2 linked regions of the Elephas maximus indicus genome follow. The protein of the gene in region 1 interacts with the protein of each later gene in a pairwise test. Links are inferred from orthologs where the notes say so. Each region holds a gene or a part of one and is shown on either strand. Other genes may lie near its edges.

The links.
Region 2: the proteins of SQSTM1 (region 1) and CDC37 interact in binary tests that used the Homo sapiens proteins (3 or more experiments, as listed by UniProt). The link is inferred for Elephas maximus indicus from reciprocal best matches to the Homo sapiens genes SQSTM1 and CDC37.

What each region holds. Positions count from the first base shown.
Region 1 is NC_064820.1:202,020,579-202,030,245, reverse strand, and holds the start of SQSTM1 (sequestosome-1), read right to left. Parts: upstream 3,933-9,667; 5' UTR 3,886-3,932; coding exon 3,681-3,885; intron 1,588-3,680; coding exon 1,492-1,587; intron 992-1,491; coding exon 762-991; intron 666-761; coding exon 524-665; intron 1-523. UniProt on the Homo sapiens protein: Molecular adapter required for selective macroautophagy (aggrephagy) by acting as a bridge between polyubiquitinated proteins and autophagosomes.
Region 2 is NC_064821.1:28,498,867-28,508,453, forward strand, and holds the start of CDC37 (hsp90 co-chaperone Cdc37), read right to left. Parts: upstream 3,860-9,587; 5' UTR 3,758-3,859; coding exon 3,656-3,757; intron 1-3,655. UniProt on the Homo sapiens protein: Co-chaperone that binds to numerous kinases and promotes their interaction with the Hsp90 complex, resulting in stabilization and promotion of their activity. Inhibits HSP90AA1 ATPase activity.

The DNA of each region.
Region 1 (9,667 bases):
CTTTTGTCCCAAAGGATGCAATGAATCAAAAAACACAGTAAGATTAATAAAATCAAAAGAAGATCAGAACTCAGTAGATTGCAAACTACGTGTAAATTTTTAACCGTGCGACTGTGTTTTAATACGAGCAGACGTGGCTCGCAGTTTCCTGAAAGCTGACATGAGAGAACAGAGTCTGTTATAGGCTCCAGGGACTGGATGGCCCACAGGCCTGATCTCAGGGCACCCAGATGGGCCAAACGGTGAAATGGTTGATTGCTGGGTACACTAGTGGCCTTGGATGATCCCTGCTGCCCCTCAGCTTTCCCACTTGTGAAACAGAGCTAATAGTCCTCACTTTGCAGGGCTCTTGTGAGGATTAAATGACATGGATGGCTGTGAAACTGCCCAGCCCAGCCATGGGCATAGCAGGCATCAGTGTACATGGAAGTCTTGAGTAACAGCACCAGAGAATAAAGACAGTCCTCCAGCTCGGCTAGCCTTCAAAAGCACACACAGGGCAGGCTGCCTAAGCGAGCCTCACCTGATCCTGCTGTGGGGCCAGGGCGGGCATCTCCTGCCCGAGGAGGACGTGGGCTCCAATTGCCCGGTGGGCCCATTTCCCAGCCCGGCCACCCAAAGTGCCCATGTTTCAGCTTCCGGAGCCAGCGGCTATGAGAGAAGCCCTGTGGGAAGAGCAAGCAGAGGGACAGGGTAGTGCAGGGCCAGGGGGTTCCTGCCACCCCAGAACCCACCCCAGGCCGCACAGAGGCCCTGCTTACCTCAGAGAGGTGCCCGAAGGGGGTGGGGAACGCAAGCTTGCTGTGCTCCCCGTGCAAGCCCTTCCCCTCGCAGGCCGCACACAGGTCGTAGTCCGGGCAGACGCTGCACTTATAGCGGGTTCCCACCACAGGCCCATTGCAGCCATCACAGATCACATTGGGATGCACCATGCTGCGGGGCACCTCCTGAGCACATGGCGGGCGGTGGTCTCGCCGGCACTCCTTCTTCTCTGTGGGGGAAGGGTGGAGAGAGCCACTGAGGTGACACCTCCAAAGTTCTCCCCCATCCATCACCTCTGTGGGGCTGTTCATGAAACACCCAGTTCCACACAGAATTCAGTTGCTCAGGTGACAGTAACAAAGCAACCCAAGAACCTGCTGAGAGAGTCCCAATCCCTGCACCTGAAAACCGGGCATGCAGAGCCCAGCCAGCTGAGGAGCAGCAGAGAGCTGTGCTGGCACACTCTGGCTTTGCTCCTCACTAAAATAAAGCTTGTACTGTACCCCCAACGCTTCCTCCAGCCCCATGGCACTTGGTTTGGGCACATCAAGAGTGGACTCAGAGACCCTATAGACCCCACTCAGTACATGATGAACATGGACTCCTTTCTGAGGGCAAACTTGGCATTTATTATGACTCTGTCTAGCCCTCAGATTCCTAGCCCTCAAGCCCTATATTTACTCAGCAGGGAACACCTGGCTTCAGGTCACACCCAGAGTAGCCCCTTACCTTTTATGTAAATACGGAAGATGTCATCCTTCACATAGGACATTGCCATTGTCAGCTCCTCATCACTAGAAAAGGCAACCAAGTCCCCATCCTCATCTAGATGGTTTAAAAGACAGCACATGAGTACCTGGGGCTTCCAGATGGATACAAGTTGCTCAAACCAGCTGAGGCCAGTGCTGAAGGGACATTTCAAGGGCTATAAACTGGAACCCCTGTGTGAACTGGGGGAGGTAGGGATGACAGGTGAGATTGCCCATTCACTCTGATGTTGTTAGGAAGGTAAGGACTTCAACATGGGGCCCTGGATCCATGCCAGAGGCAGGTGTGTGTGTGCAGGGCACCACAACAGTGATAGCTGGCCACCCCCTGCTCTGTTTTTGAGCCCCTGGTCCATATCCAACCAGGCCCATCCTCAAATGTGGGAGATCCTGCCTTTGACCAGTTCCTGGGGGACCCAGCCCTCCAAAGGCCTTGGGCTTCTTAAGGTTTAGGAAAGTAATAGATAAGCCGGGGCTTAGAACCAATTCATTCCAGTTCGACCCCCTGCTGAGAATTTGCATTTCCACCCCCCCAGATATACTGAATAATAATCTACTTAAGAATTAAAATGCATATGTAAGAATCACCTGGGGGATCTTGCTAAAATGTAGATTCTGATTCAGTATATCTAGGGTCAAAATGCAAAGTCTCAGCAGGTGGAACCTGAATGAACCTGTTCAAAGTGCTGCTAAAATACCATATTTGGATGTAGTCTCCCATTTTTAGATGTTGGCTCAAAGGGTTTTAAACCACCACCATGCAGGACAAATCACACCATCCATCTGCAGACTGAATAGGGCCTGTGGGTCACCAGATCACAACATCAGGAATAGGGGCGGTGCCAAAAGGTGGAAACAACACAGGTGTCCATCAACAGATGAATGGAAAAACACAATGTGGTATATCCATACAATGGACTAGTATTCCACCATAATATTACATCATGCTACAACATGGATACATCTTGAAAACGCTATGTTAAGTGAAAGAAGCCAGTCACAAAAAACCACATGATTCCATTTATATGAAATGCCCAGAACATGCAAAGCTATAGAGACAGAAAGTAGATTATTGGTAGTTTAGGGCTGGAGGTAATCAGACTGCTAGGGTAGGGGTGATAGCTAAAGGGTATGGGGTTTCAAGGTGATGAAAATGTTCTGAAACTGTGGTGATCGTTGCACAAACCTGTGAATATGCTAAAAACCATTGAGTTATATACTTTTAATGGGTAAATCGTATGACATGTGAATTACATCTCAAAAAAATTCCCAAAAAAAGATAGGGGCGGACCTGGCAGGCTGGCAGCACTGCTGAGGGAGGTCCCAGCACTGTCCCCTCCCAGAGGCTGGCCCTGGATGCTCCGCCCTCCCTTTCACAACCAACTTCCTCAACCCCACCCCCAGGAGTCACCTGTAACACAAGCACAGCCCAAGCTAGCTCCTGGGCCCGCAAAGGCTTCCCAGCCTCCATCCCTACACCAATGTTCCTGAAGAACCTTTGATCTTGTCCGTCTCTCCAGACTATTAGATAGTCAGTACTCTGCCTGGCCTTGGGCGTCCTGTGATCTGGCCCCGACCTCTCTTCGCAGAGACTATCTCGGGATAGTTCCCCGCACCCCACACTTGTTTACCTACGTCATTCCTCCCCCGCCCCTGGCGCCCCTTCCTCCAGGTCGGCTCCGCCCAGGCTCTGTAGGGGTAAATCTGAACCCGCTAGAGGACCCAGACTCCAAAGCCGCAAGATGTCAGTGTAACCTTAGTGCCCGCGGCCCCCGAAAAGCCGAAAGGACGCCTGCGCGTCCTTGCCAAGCTGTGCAGCATCATGGCGGGGGGAGGGGTGGAATCTGGCGCCCCCAGACCTGAGATCCGCCCGTAGAGTGTGGCAGCCCCTGGCCCCAAAAGGGCTAGCGCTTAACAGCTGGAACTGGGCCGGAACCGAGTCTTGGTCCCTACTCCTGGCACTTCCAGACTGGCACCCGGGGCCGAAGTGTGGACCCGCCGCGAGCCACTGCTCACCCAAAAGCCAGAGCAGCCCTCCCTCACCCCATCAGGCATCGACGGGAAGGAAAGGCAGCCACCCAAGCCCCACAGGGCAGGCCGTACAGAGGCCGCTCGGCCTGCGTCACTGCCACCGCCCCCGGCCCTGCTCACCGCGGTAGTGCGCCTGGAAGCCGCCAGGCCGCAGCGCCGGGAACAGGGCGGCCACCCGGCTCAGCAGCCGCTCGCAAGGCCCCGGCCCAGTCGCGGCCTCGGCTTCGGCTTCCGCCTCGGGGCTGAAGCAGAAGCTGAAGCGGCGGATTTCGCGGGCCGCATCCTCCTTGCCTAGAAGGTAGGCCTTGACTGTGAGCGACGCCATACCCCGTTGACGAAGGAGCTGGAACGGAGCTGTACAACGCTGGCCGCAGGCGCGCGGCCTTTATAGGAAATGCGGGAAGCCCCGCCCCACCCGGCCACCTGGGGGCGGGGTCTCCCGGCGAAGTCCTAGCTCCCACCTCCAGACCGCGGCGCGCGCAAGCCGCCCTGCGGGGGCCCCTCACCCGCTGCCACCCTACGTCTCCTGTGACCACCCCCCTCACGGTTGCCGAGGCCCGTTCACTGCCGCCCGTCTCCTCACTGCCCCCAGTACAGCAGGGGCCCCAAGAAGCCCGCCCCGTTAGTCCGACGTCTAAGCTGGGCTCTGGTCTCTACTCCTGGGGCAAGAGGCAGGCAAGGGGTCCCTCCCAGGCCTGGGCCTGGCCATGACTCAGCAAAGTGTCCCCAGGCCGCCGAGGGATGCCTAGAGCAGGGGGTGGGGGGGCACAGAGGCTAGACGCCAGGAGGTGCCTAAGCAATCTAGTGAGCACTGCGGGCCAGAGCAAGCAGGCCCCCTGGGGTGGTACAACGGGGTGGTAGAACAGGGTGCTACCTGCCAGCTTGGTAGCCTCCAGGCCGTTCGGGACAATCAGCCTCTCCCGGGGCGGGGGTGGGGGGTGGGGAGCACACAGCGTCCTCCCTGGCGATTTATCCCCCATCCACCAGCTGTGCCCCCAGCTTAATGGGTGAGCGAGATAGGTTGAGAGGTGCTAGGAGAGCACAGGGGACAGGGGTTGGTGAATATCCCTACACCCGGCACTTCAGTGCAGCCCAAGAGACTCCTGCTGAGTCCCCAGATGCCCACCTGTCAGCACAGGGTTCAATTCAGCAGGTGGTGCCCAAGGGCCCCTGAGTTCACAGCTTGTTGACCTCATGGGCAGGGGGTCAGACCAACTCCCCTAGAGCTATGAGCCTAGAAACACTGCTTTATGTGACCAAATAGACCTGTTTGAAAGGCCTGGGGAGACACCTTGGAAGGAGTTGGGCAGGAAGGGTATGTCACCCTATATTGCACCCAGATGGGGTCCTGTCATGCTTTTTCACGGTTGGCTTTGTGGAAGCGCGAGGGCTGGGAAACCCAGAGACCAAGGGAAGTTTGGTTGGGCTAGGGGATAGTCAAATGCGAAAGTGACTTCCATGTGGGAGCACACAGGGGCTTGTCCACAGGTGTGGCTGATCTTTCCCTGAGGGCTCCAGACAGCTCCTCGCACCCCTGCCCGGAGCAGCGCTGTGGACAGGAGAGTCCCTCTCCACCCCTCCCCCCCGCGTCTCCGCGGTGACCCTCAGCCGCTGAGACCCACGGCCCTGCCGGAAGGGTCAGGGTCTGGGAAGAAAACTGGGGCCGCTGGCAGGAGCGAGGGCGTATGACTCAGCAGCGCCCCATGGGAGACACGCAGCCCAGGCGGTTGGGCGAAGAGCGCGCTTCCTGCCCCAGCTCGGCCGGCCACCCCGCCCCCAGAGCTTCAGGGTCCGGGTCCGAGCACAGTGTGGGCTGAAGAGTGAAGTCATCTGGTTAGGGGAACGCAGGTTTCAGGAACAGCCCAAGGCGCGGCCCTTGCCCAAACAAGTAGTGGGACTCTTTGGCTGCCTCTAGGAACTCCTTTGCTTTCTTAACTTTTATGTCCGTTTGGGACCGTGGTGGGCTTGCAGGGAGGGGTGGGGAAGCTCAGAGAGAAAGGGGTGGCAAGAAATGGGCTCTGGGGAGCAGGCCTGAAGACCGCCACCAGCCCCCAGCTACCGGCCCCTGCCCGGGCTAGTCCGGGTCCGGCCCTTCCCAGCAAGCTCTGCTGTTGAGCACGGCCCAGCCCTCCCCGCCCCCAAGGCCCGCTGAGAGGTAAACAAGACTGTGCGCTGGGGAACCCCCTGGCAGGGCCCTTTCCGCCTACCCCCCGGTGGTCAGGCGGTCCTGCCGTGAGTCAGCGTCCCATGATCGCCATCATGAACTGCGGATCCCCGGCCACCACTGACCCCTCTCAGTGACATCTTACTGAGAGACTGGGTGGAGAGAGGCCCTGGGGGTCTGCGTGAGTCCCACCTGGACCCCGCAGCAAGAAGAGTGCGCAGAGGCGGGGGAGTGGGGGGGTGGGGGTGGGGGGAGGGACCGCAGGGCACCTAGTTGATGGCTGGAGCAAGACGCCCTCCCTGTACAGCCGCCATTCTCTGTCTTTCTCCTCCGTGGGAGGCAGAGACACCGCCCCCTTCCCCAGACACCTCCCCTGTGTCCACTGACCCGCTTCCCACTTTCCAGGGCATGTGCACTCAGCAAGCTGGAAAAGCTTGGCCCTGAGTTGGAGACTTCTGCAATAGACCGCCTTTGGACTAATGCTTCTCAGTTTCCTCATCTTAGAAATGGGGCCCGAGTGGGATGATGTGATGTCCCCACCCAGGTGAGGCCCCTCAGGTGTGCTAGTTGTTCTTTGTCTGCTTTTGGCCTTGTGAGCTGAGGGGGGTTGGGGAGAGAACAAGGAGTTGAGAAGGTTAAAGAGTGGGAGACACAGAAGAGACCTGAGTTAAGAGGTTCTGGGAGGGCCAGGAGGACATCCGATTTTGTTTAGTACTGTCTGGTGTGCTGTAATCACCTCTTCAATCCCACCCTGCCCCACCCCCCAAATAATCCCATCACAATGATTTGACAGAGTTTTTCTGCAGTCCAGTTAATTTTCTTTGAGGTGTGGAGTCAAACCTCCCTAGGTGTGAGGGCTCAGAGCTAGGCCACTAGACACAAGGGGGTCCAGGCTGAGCTGCTCTGGGCTGTGCTTAAAGGAGATTAATTGAGGATCAAGGGAATGAGTCCCACCCAACCCCACCCCTAGGACTAACCCCATAACCAAACAAACCCATTGCCTTCAAATAGATTCCAACTCATAGTAACCCTATAAGGACTAAGGGATGAGTTTTTATGTCCAGGGAAGGAGTCCAAGGAGTGGGAATGCCTCTAGTCCTCCTTCACTAAAGTGTCTTGGTTCTCACACTGCCCTGGACCTGTCTGTCCCTCTCATTGACTCTGAGGGACACACCTCTGCTCACTGTTCCCAACATGCCAACTCATTCTACCTGGTGACTTTTTCCAGGCTCTTCCCTTTGCCTGTAACCCTTCCCTCCCTGGCCTGCATGGCAACCTCCCATCCTAAATGTCACCTCAGTGGGGCCTTCCCTGACCACTCCATCTGGGGAAAATTCTCACCTATTGGACACCACCTCATTTTAGCTGTTTCTGCAAGGCCCAGCCAAGAGAGTAGTGGGTAGGGAGAGGGGGAAGAGGGGCAGGAGGGGCTTGGAAGACTTTTCTATAAGAAAAAAGGGCTCAAGTCATTGGTCCTCAGGGAAATATAAGTTAAAACCACAAGGAGACATGACTGGAGAGTTAAGTGACCCCAAGTGTTGTGGGGCACCGGGCCCTCCTGCCGGACTACTGGAGGGCTGGAGCGACCATTTTGTCTAGGGGTCGCCGGTACTAGAGGAAAGTCGTTGCTGCGCAATGGCATGGGGCCATGGGGATGGGTTTCATCAACAGAGGTGGGCCGGGGGCTAGCTCGGGGCCATGTCTGTAAATACGTATCAGAGAGCCCTGCACCAAAGAACTGCACCGACACTAAGTCCAACCGGGCGGTGCCTGGGGACCCTCGAGCGGGGATCCCAGCCCTGGGCGCCCGGCCCCAAAAGAAAGTGTGGTCCAGGAAGGAAACGGCCAGGCTCAAGCCAAGAAGGGGTCACTGGAGAGACAACCTGTGGGCCACCAAGGGGTGGGCTGGAGCCGGCCCGCGACCCCACCCTGCAGAGAGCCACGTCTGCCCATGGAACCCTGCTCCTCATGTGGACCTCTTCCAGAGCCAGGCGATGAACGGTGCTCTAGGCCTGACTGAGAGAGCCTGCTGGTGGATCAGTTTCCCCACAGCCAAGTTCGCTCTGTGCAGAAGTGGTCAGGTCACGGTCAGCCTTTCCACAGGCCCCCTGAGGCTGGTCCCAAAATGAAACATGCTTCTTCCTGGTCCCAAAGTGAAACATGCTCCTTCCTGGTCGTAGGGTCGCCCCTGTAGCTGTGGGGGGAGGGGGTGCCTCAGAGGAGGGTTCCGCACTCTATCCGGCTTCTCCCTTCCTTGTCAGTGTCCAGAGACCTACCCTGGGGTGGGCTCTGCTGGGGGCCCCAAAGCAGGGAGCTAGCCCTACTGCGAAGGTTCTGGAAAGACAAAGGAGCCAAGAGGTGTGGGGGAGGGGATCATGAGGAAACCCCCGGTGACGCCAACTGTAAAAGAGGGAGGGTTTTTGTCTTGTCCTACTAGCCAATGGAAATAAGACAGACACACCACCAGCTGCAAGGGAAACAAAGTGGAAATTTATTGTTTGCGCAAACAAGGGGCCTAGCAGCTTAAAGACTACTGGCTCCCAGTCCCAGGGCAGCTTGGAGCTTTTATGCCCTCTAGCCCCCAGGGGGCGGGATTGGCGCCCAAAATCTGACACCCCATCCCTCCCAAGTCCATGTCCGGAGATCCAGGTGCTGCAAAGGAAGGGAACTTTTGCTTTGCAAATGAGCTCAGGTGCAGCTATGTGCCTGAGAACACCTTCATTTCTAGCAAAGTTCAGGTCATGGGTTCAAGCTGGGGGCCCCGGCGCAAAGGTTTCAGTTTGCGCATGCGCGGGACTTCTGAGCCAAATTCAAACCGTTAGCCTAGCCACGGTTAGAAACCTCGGCTTGCTGGGCTGCCAGGGGTGGGGGAAAGCCGTGGCGTAGCGAGGGAAGCCGCAGTAACGGCTTCACAGACGCCCCGAGACAATTCTGAGGCCAGAGACCTGAGGAGGAGCTGGACCTGCCAGGTCTGCGTGAAAATTGGCTCAAGGCGAGGAATGTGCGGGAGCTCTCAGTTCCGGATCGGGGCGGGAGGGGAGGCAGGGTGGCACTCTCCAGGGAGCGCCAGTCCTGGATGGAGCAATGAGCGAGTGCCCCCACGCTTCCCCAAGAAGGCCCGGAGTTTGGAGTCACATGGCGAGGGCTGCTGCAGGTCAGGCTCAGGGCTGGTAGTCCTTCTGGAACCCACTGGCTTCTCATCTCCAACGCCCCCTTCCAGACCATCACTCTCCGCGGGGGGCCCTCACTGGTCTCCCTGCTTCCTCTCTTCTCCACACTGTTCCCAACTAAGCACTTCAAAAGCAAATACAATCGTGTCAATCCCACCTCTGTGCCCACTCCTGTTTTGGGCCTTTCCACTTTGTACCTTACCCACAGCTCTAATGGTTAAGACCGAAACCCCTGTTAAGCTGTGCTCTACCCCTGCCCCTATATGCTCCAGCCCCTTCTCCCATTTTTGGCTCCACTTCCACCAGCCTTTGAATGCCTCTCAACAGGATATTTACATATGCTGATCAATCTGGTGGCCTTTGCTGAAGCCACTCTTCTCTCCCTGGGATGGTACAGCTAACCTTGCTCCCTTGGGGTACCCTCTGCCCTTCTGGGCATCCTTAATTTCCCCCATTATTAGCCTGACCTTTCCAGCACTGGGTGTGGTGGCTGCAGACAAGGCCCCAGCAGGGCAGAGACCAGGTCAAGCACACCTGTGCCTGTGGTGCTAGTTACTTAAGTGTGAACACTGAGAACATTTGTTATGAATGAATAAGAGAATGAAGCCTCTAATGAAATGGTCAGCATGGCCCTAGGGGCCAGAATGAGATGAAGCTTTAGGGCAGGGCTTCTAAACTTTTTCCAACCTCTTACTGTGCCAGGTAAATGCTTATTAGCATCTGGACAAGATGAAGGACCTCTGCTTAGAATCATGTTTTGAAACATGTATATT
Region 2 (9,587 bases), on another chromosome or scaffold:
CACTGAGTCGGTTCCAACTCATAGCGGCCCTATGTACAACAGAACGAAACACTGCCCAGTCCTGCACCAGCCTCACAATTGTTGCTATGTTTGAGTCCCCTGTTGCAGCCGCTGTGTCAGTCCATCTCATCGAGGGTCTTCCTCTTTTTCGCTGACCCTCTACTTTACCAAGCATGATGTTCTTCTCCAGGGACTGATCCCTCCCGATAACGTGTCCAAAGTCAGAGAGACGAAATGTGAGGACTAAACGAGTCAAAAAAAAAAATGCTTCCAACGCAGCAAGCATTCAGTAGATGTTAGCCACAGATCACCACTGTCATTGTCACCACCACCAGAACAGTCTGCTGACTCACTTCTGTGCCTTCTATGAGGCTGTATCCCCAGGTTTCTAGCACAGGGCCAGGCCAATGATGAGTGAGAACTGTGACACCAGGGCCCTACTCCAATGCCCAATTGAACTAACAGGGATAGCCCCAAGGCTTACTTTTCCGGCATGGATAATGGGTGAAGGCCCAGGCCTCATGGACAGGAGCCCTGGCCTCTGCCACCACCCATACTCCGCAACGCCCTGTGTCACCATGGAACCTTCCTGCTACCCGCAAGGGGCTCTCTGCAGCTGACATTACAGGTGGTCCCAGGCCTCGGCAGGAACCGACCACCCTGGTTTTCTCTGCTGGACGGCCTCCAAGCTCTTCCCAGCATCCTCTGAGAGGCCACCAGGGACGTGAAAGCTAAATAAAGGCCTCCTGGAGCTGTGGGGCCGGCAGCCTGCCCGGCCCTAGCTTTACACCTCATGTTACGAAGGGCCCATAGCAGGTTAGGCAGGCCAGGAGCCACGGCAGCTGGAATCACTGCCCTCTTGCCTTACAGATGGGGAAACCTAGGCCACCGAACCTCACTGCTGAACAGCTTACTAGATGGAGCCACAAAAAACCAGGAACAGTGGCTGTCTCTGGGCAAGGGAACTGGGGAGCTGGGCTAGGAAGCAAGACTCATTTGTCCTCTTATCCCTACTAGAAGCTTTGGAATTTTTCACCACGACCATGAATTACCTAAATATTAACAATGACAATAGCTAACGTTTATAGAAAGATTATGTACTAGATACTATCCACAAAACACTACAGACATTAAGTAGTATATTTCTCACAACACTACAAAATTGATATTATTAATATTCCCAGCTGGGGAAACTGAGACAGCTTGTCAGTGGTGCAGAAGGAGCTGGGCTAGTCAAAAGGCACCAGGCTACCTTTTAACTAAGCCTACCTCCTTTTCTGGAACACTGCCTCCCAGGCCCTGAGCCCGGTTGTTTTCAAACCTAATCTCTTTCATTCCGACAATTTCATAAAGACAGGGCCATATTATCCCTATTTCACAGGGACTCATGGATGGGGCCTATGAACCTCACTTCACACGGAGAGAGGTGGGAAACGGTGGGGCTGGGATCAGAATCCAAGCTTGCCTGTCCATGAACCTGGTGCTGGAAACACCCAGGCCACCGCCTCCACTACAGCCACAGGGCCTTTAAGAGAAGGAAAGGGGCGGGGCTCTCAGCGGCCAGACAGGAAAAGGCTGTGGGCCAGGGAGGAGGGTGTGGCTGGAAGAGGACACTGCAGGAAAGGGGGCATCGCCCAGACACCCTGCCCTTGGCACTTGGCACTGGGGAGCCGGGCATGGGGATGGGGACCAAATCACCTCTACACAGTAGTAAAGATTAACTCTTTTATAGACAGAAATAGGTATTCCCAAGAACATTCTTTAGAGCTTTGTGAAGGTCTTAAATATTTCATAACAAAATGTTACACACAGCAAGAAACAGAGGTGCTAGAACCTTCCTCCCATATACGAGTGGCTTGCCCAGCAGGTACATTACCCAGGAGACTGCTGTTTTAAGGAATGGGAGGCTCAAAGTTGAACTGGGGACCAGATACAGGAGCCAGTGTAGGGTCCCATAAGGATGGGGAAGTGCCCTTTGAGGATTTTCTGGATAAATGACTGGGAAGTGCCATATAGGAGGAGGTGGAGAACTCCTAGCCAGCATAAGCCCTCAGTTTGAGAGTATAACGGGCATAGGTGTGGGGGGTACAGGAGTTCTGATTTGGGGGAGCAGAGGATCAGACCATTAGATTTTATGAGAGTCATCCTATTGGCCCATGAGCACTACCAGTCAAGGACGGGGTGGCAGGTCACAGGTCACACAGACTTGGGATTCTGAGCTCTGGATCTGGGAGTTCTCTTGTGGGAGTCCCTGGGTGGTGCAAACAGTTAACGTGCTTGGCTGCTAACCCAAAGGTTGGAGGTTCCAGTCCACCCAGCGGCACCTCAGAAGAAAAGCCTGGCAATCTACTTCTGAAAAATCAGCCACTGAAAACCCTGTGGAGCACAGTTCTACTCTGACACACATGGGGTTGCCAAGAGTCGGAGTCAACTCGATCGATGGCAACTGGTACTTGTGTTGTGGGAAGACAGATAAAAGAAGGGGTAGTGAATTTAGAAATCAAATCAGTAGGGTCCCTGGGTGAGTGCAGGACCAATTTGGGCATCAGATAATGGCAGACCAGGCTGCGGGAAAGGGTAAGGCAGGGTGGGTGTTGGGTCCTGGGTTTGGGTTTAGCTGTGGGTTTCCAGTGCTGGCAGAGGTTCACACGGGAGGCCTGTCTTGGAGGTGGGTGATAATGGGGTCTGCAATATTAAACACAGGCAGGGGCTCTGGCTGGGCCGGAAGCCATGGAGACAGGTTTCCCAGTGTAATGGGAAATGAGATCTATAGTATGTGAGGCTGAAGGACAGTCAGAACTGGAAACTCCACAGGATGGAAGCTGGTGACTGAGTCTGGAGTTTCCAAAACCCTGGTCCTAGGCTGAACCGAGGAGTCCCTGGGTGGTGCAAGAAGTTAAGTGCTGGACTAGTAACCAAAAGATTGGCGGTTCAAACTCACTCAGAGGTGCCTTGGAAGTAAGGCCTGGCCATCTGCTTCCGGAAGGTTACAGCCTTGAAAACCCCACCGAGCAGTTCTACTGTGCACGCATGGGGTCGCCATAATTCGAAACAACAACAGGCAAGATGAGGACACTGGTGGATCGCAAATCTCACCTCTAGGGAAGGGGTCCCAGGTGCAGGTTGGGGTCCCAAGCCTAGGAACAGGAATCTGACTAGGAATTCCCATCAAGACCCCTGGAGGTGGATTCCAGACAGGATTAAAGTATTGGGGTTCCAGACCCTAGGATTGGGGGGCCTAGTGGAGTATCCCAGCTCAGAAGTGGGGATCCAAATAGGACCACAAATCACCTAGCTGAATTGAGGATCCAGGCTCTGAGGCAGGGTTCTGAGTGTAAATGGAAGATCGCGGACAGGACTGAGGATATACCCAACGCTTATCTTGGGAACCTAGACTGGGAAAATTGTTCTAGGGGTCAATAGGGAGTCCCACGCAGATCATCAAAGGGGTCTCGGGATCGCAGTAAGACGGACAGGGTCCTGGCGGTACTCAGGGTTCTGGAGTTGAATCGAGGGACCCCGGGAGATAATAAAAATCCGGAGTGTGAGGTGGGAGCACAGGTGTTAAAGGAGAGGTCCCTGGCCCGTACTTGGGGTCAGAATTCTGGAGCCGGGTCCGGGCGAGCGGGGAACCGGGCGGGCGCGTGCACTATACCTGGTGCCGCCAGCGGAAGAGGCTGGCTGTGTCGATGTTGGGGTGCGTCTCGTCTTCATCGTCAGATACTTCGATGTGGTCCCACACGCTGTAGTCCACCATCTTGCCTCAGCGGCCCAGCCCGCTCCGGCTCCCGCGGCGGCGGCGGCTGCAGCGGTGCTGAAGACACGGCCGCGGGGCCCCGCCCCTTCCGCTTCCGCCGGACACGCCCGCCCCCACTCGTGACGTCACATCCCTAGTAACCACGGCGGCGCCACTGGAGACCGAGCACGCCTTAAAGGGCACTGCGCACGTGTTCTGGCTGCGGGGAGTCTCCACTAAGACCCCGCCTCAGCGGGCCCGGGGGCTCCAATGGGCACCTCCTGAGGGCACACGGGAGGGCGCTCCAGCCACGATCTCCTTCATTTTTCGCCGCCCCACGGTGAGCGTTTGCAGCGGCCTCAAAGGGCAGTTGGCAAGAGTAAGGGCGGGGATTGTCCCCTTGGCCACGCCGCATGACGTCAACCTGAGCCCACTGCAGAGAAGGCCCGCCCCCTGCCTCTTGTGAGGGGACACTTAGCCCTGCGCTGGGAAGGGTGTGTGATCTAAGGGGACCTTTCCAATCTGAAGGCGACGTGGCACTGCCCTTAGGGGCTAGTATTTCCTCGGCTCAGACATCGGCCTCCACCTTCCAGGTCTCTTTCCCGCCCCCGTCTTCTGCCTCTCCTGAACGGGGACTCGAACACAGACACACGTCCCACTGGAATCACCCGGGCTCCTCCCCTCCCCCCCGCCTTCCTGGCGCCTGTCTCCACGCGCGGCCACTGAGTGTCGCTAATGTCTAGCCTGGGGCCAATGCTCCTGGCCCCGCGCCGGGCGGAGGAGCGTGGAGAGGCGGATGGGGGGCTTTCCTGGGCGCCGCTGTCTGGGGCCGCTCCTAGCTCCTTCCTTTTCGTCGGGGGCCCCTTCCTTGTCAAGGCTCCAAAGACTCCATTACTCTGAGCTTGGGGGACCCCGGCCGCAACCCACGCTTTGATACCAAGATAAAAGGCCTGGTTACAGCCCTGGGCCAGGATTATCAGATTAAAGGACGCTCGGCTGGGAGCGGATGGGAGGAGCTCTGGCACCCGAGCGAGGGGCACCACTTCCCAGACTCCCTCGAAGTCAGTGATTGGGGGACAGGAGAGAACGGAGGAAAGGTCTCCAGTTTGGGGGGGCAGGGAGTGCCCGGTCCGGGGGAGAGGGAGGGTCCAGACAGACAGACAAAAGCGCCCTCCCGCTGCCGACCTTCCTCCTAGCGGTCCATTCAAGCCCGCGAGTGGGCGGGCGGGGGCGGGGGAGTCCCCCCTCCCCCTCCAGCCCTGGCAGTCCAGCATCTCCGCGGCCGTCACCGCCCGGGGACGCGCGCGCACGTACCCACACACCGGCGGGATTCACAATCGCGCACACACATACACATTCCCTCCCCAGCCCCCCTGCAAGGTAAGCTTCGTGCTGCGAACTGCGGCGGGAAAGGGACCCAGTGCCGCGGACGGTGGGGGCCCGAACGGGGGGGTGTTTCCCCCGCCTCTCTGAAAACCCGGGCACCGCGTCTGCGCTCTGCGGGTTTCGGCCCAGCCGCCCGGCTCCGGGTGTGTGGGGAGGACCCCGGATGCAGGGGATTCCCCGGTAGGCACGGGGCGGGGGGTTCCTCCCCGGCTTTGGAACCTGAAGCTGCCGAGAAACAGAGTCTCAGGCGTCCCAGATCTCTAGAGCTGGCAACAGGGAATAGGCAGCTTCCCCATCAGCGCCAAATATTTCGTAGTCTCCTTCCAGCAAAGCATTTCCAGCCTTGGGGGCTGAGAGAGACAGACCCTTGAATTGCTTTACGCTGTCTTTTGGTCTTACCGCCGCATCAGTGCACCCCCTTGTGTCTCTTGTTTCTGCGGGGTGGGGTGGGAGCTGGGACTACTCCTCTCCGCTACCCCTGCTTCCTCTGCTGCATCCAACAGCCACACACCACTTAGCTGCGGCGGGAACCGAGCAAGTGGCTTTGCTTTCCTGAGCCTCAGTTTCCTCATCTGCGAAGTGGGTAACGACAGACTCATGGAAGTTATTAAGTCATGCATGCCAAGCCTCCCTTTGCTCCATCATTTATTTCTTGGCCTATTCCACACCTATTCCCCCAAGTGCCTACTGTACGCCAGGCCCTTTGGCAAAGGCGTGGGGCTGCAGTAATAAACAGCACCTAGGGGTCCCTGCTTTGCTGACTTTCCAGGCTGATGAGGGAGCAAGATCAGTGTGTAAACAGAGAAATACCCAAGGTGATTCCACACTGTGAAGACTAGAATTCCAGCAGGTGAGGAGAGGGACTGGGGGAGGGCGCACTCAAGATTAAATGAGATTTCTGGCTCATGTCTTCCTCATTCTCTTTGAGCTACAGGAGGGTAGGGCCAGGGCCAGAAGAGTGCCTGACACACAGTAGGTGCTCAATAAATGTTCAGCAAATTAAAGGGGAAATTAGGTTCATAGCATTTTAGATCAGGAAGGGAGCTTATCATGAAACAATCCAACCTCCACCCGGCCACCATTTTACAGATGAGACGATTGAGTCGCTGAGCCCCAGAGAAGGGGAAAGACATAGGCGACACAGCAGGGCAGATGGGGCATTGGTGGTTCAGTGGTAGAATTCTCACCTTCCGTGTGAGAGACTGGGTTCGATTCCCAGCCAATGCACCTCATGTGCAGCCATCACCCGTCTGTCAGTGGAGGCTTGTGTGTTGCTATGACGCTGAACAGGTTTCAGCGGAGGTGCTTCCGGACTAAGATGGACTAGGAAGAAAGGCCAGGCAATCTACTTCTGAAAATCAGCCAATGAAAACCCTATGGATCACAATGATCCAATCGGAAAGTGACCATGGTGATGGCACAGGACCAGGCAGTGTTTTGTCCTGTTGTGCATAGGGTCCCAATGAGTCAGGGCAGACTCAAAGACAGCTAGCAACAATAAATGAATGGTTGTGAACAGCTAGGACAGAAAGGGGTTAGAGAGCAGAATTGAGCACAGGGCACTCCTGGCTCCTGTGATACCCAGCCAGCGCCCACCACTCCCCCCACACCCACACAGACACAGCCCTGCCTTCTTTAATTCAACAAGTATTTATTGAGCACCTATTATATGCCAGGAGCCCTGGTAGTGTAGCGGGTAAGAGCTCGGCTGCTAACCAAAAGGTGGGCAGTTCAAATCCACCAACCACTCCTTGAAAACCATATGGGGGAGTTCTACTCTGTCCTATAGGGTCGCTCTGAGTCGGGACCGACTTGACACCACCTAAGAACAAAAACATTATATGCCAGGTGCTGGGGAACCAAACTCCCTGCCCATGGAGCTGACATTTAATAGAGGAAACAGAAAAGAAACAATATAAACAAATAAATACATAACAAATTGTTATTAGGACCGTGATGGAATAGGGGGCCTGTGACATTTCAAGTGGGATATCCAGGAAGATCTCTTGGAGGGATTAAATTACTCTTCAAACACAACCTCATGCACGCATGCAACCTGTGCACTCAAACCCAGACAAACCTAATGACACTAATACCATACACAGGTCCAAACCAACAGCCTAAGTAAGGGCCTGAGCAGGGATTTGAGCCCAGAACCTGCATTTCTGACCCCTGTGAAATGCTGCTTCCTGCTGTGTCCACATGCTTCTTTCCCTGCCACCCCCAGATGTCAACCTGTCATGTGTGCACGCTACACAACGCAATCTTAGAAAGTTCTGTCTGTCCAGGTATACACAAGTGGCCATGTCCAAAGCCGCACATGAGCACACGTGTCTGGGGCCCCTGATAGTCCTTCCCAGCCCTGCTCCAGCTCCAGGCATGGACCTTGGATAGTTACTGTCCCTCTACAGGCCTGAATGATCAGGGGATACTCAGGGACTTCATCCTCACTACTTTCTCTCTTGTGTGGCCACCCATCCCTGTCTCCTTCTGAGGGCTGTGGGGCTGCCAGGTGACAGGCCCAAGCTGCCCAGCGCTGTCTCCTCTGCCATCTGAACCCCCGCCCCAGCTGGCCTGCTGCCCGGGGAGGGAGGCAGGCTTAGAGGCGCCCCCCGCCTGGGGCATCAGGCCAGTTCACCCTGCCTCCCACTCACGGGCTTATATTGAGCTGATGTCTGCAGATGTCCATATGTGTCCAGTGGCGGCGGGGTGTGCGTCTCTGCTGCTGTCTCCGGCCTGTGAGCCTCCCCTGGACATCCACTCCTCCATGCCTTCCTTCATTCCACAAATCCTTGAGTGTCTACCACGTGCTGTTCCAGGCACTGGGGCAAACAGCCAGAACTGGCGACAGAATTTGCAGGGTCCGGGCAAGATGAAAATGTGGGGCTGGGGCCTGGGTGCCTGCACAGGTTGCACATCATGGAAACAAGAGCTGAGAAGAAAAATCGAGCTGAGGGGTGGGAGGGGTCTACCTCAGAGAAGGCCTCTGGAAGGAAGTGACTTTGAACAGAGACCTGAAGGAGGTGAGGGTACCACCTATTGCATGTCAGCAGTGTTCTAGGCCTTGGAACCCATCAGGGAACAAAACAGACCATCATCCCTGCTTTGTGTCCTAATCAAAGAAGAGACAATAACAATAATATGTTGCATATCTTGTTAGACTGTTATCCGTCTAAAACAAAACATGCAGTATGAAGGGGACCAGAGGAGTAGGAGAACACAGGATTTCTGAGGCTTGTTTCCCATCTGAAGGGAACAACAAGGGCAAAGGCCCTGAGGTGGGAATATGCTTGGAGTGTCTGAGGAACTAACTGTTAGGAGGCTAGTGGGGCTGGAGGAAAATGAGAGGCGGAGGGTGGGAAGAAGTAAGATTTCTGTTAATACGTTGCTATCTCTTGTGTCTGTCTATAGCTCCACATGAATCAAAAACAATAATAATTATTATTAGGATAGTAGCTACCATTTTGTGAGCACCTACTATGAGCCAGGCACTGTGCTCAGAACTTTACATGCATGGCTTCTTCATTGTCACAACAGCCCCATTGGGTAGATACTAATATCATCCCTATTTTACAGATGAGGAAACAGGCCCAGAGAGGCTGGGTGATTTGCCCAAGGTGACACTCGGTGCCTCTTTGTGTCTGCCTCATTCATTCCTTCATTTATTCATTCAGCATTTGTTGAGACTATGTGTGCTAGGTCCTGACCAGGGTGGAGAGGGACTTGACCTCAGAGAGTACCCAGTCTGCTGGGAAACACAGGCAATTACAACTCAGAGTGACAAGTGCTTTAATGGCAGAACAGGTGGCAGTGGGAGCCCAGAACATGGACTGGCTCACTTGGGGGCAAGAAATTGGAGGTGACCTTTAAGTTATCTTTTTATATTCATCCATTTGTTCAACAAGTGGCTGTCCAGGGTCCACTGAGTGCACAGCGTTAAGTCAGGAGATGATGTACACATTCACTTCTACTAGTTGATGTTGAACTGAAGTGCTAACCAGTGCAATAGAGCAAGAAAAAACAAAAAAGTAGGGGGCAAAGCACCTAGTCCATGGTAGGCCTGCTAGGAACTTTATAGATACCATGCTATTGAATCCTCACAATAATAACCAGACATTGAACAAATACTTATTGAGCATCTACTGTGTTCCAGGCACTGTTCTGGGCACTGGGGATACGGTAATGAATAAAATAAAATTGCCCCACCCTCCTGCTGTTGATATTGCAGTGCGGGGAGAGGCAGGAAATAAATGCAATAAATAAACTACATAGCACGTTATGAGGTGTTAAGTGCCGTGGAAATATAGAACAGGGTAAGGTTAGAGCACTTGTCTGCTAACTGAAAGGTTGGCGATTTGAACCCACTCCCAGGGAGAAAAATGTGGCAGTCTACATTCGTGATGATTGTTGCTGTTAGGTGCCATCGAGCTGGTTCCAACTCATAGCAACCCTGTGTACAACAGAA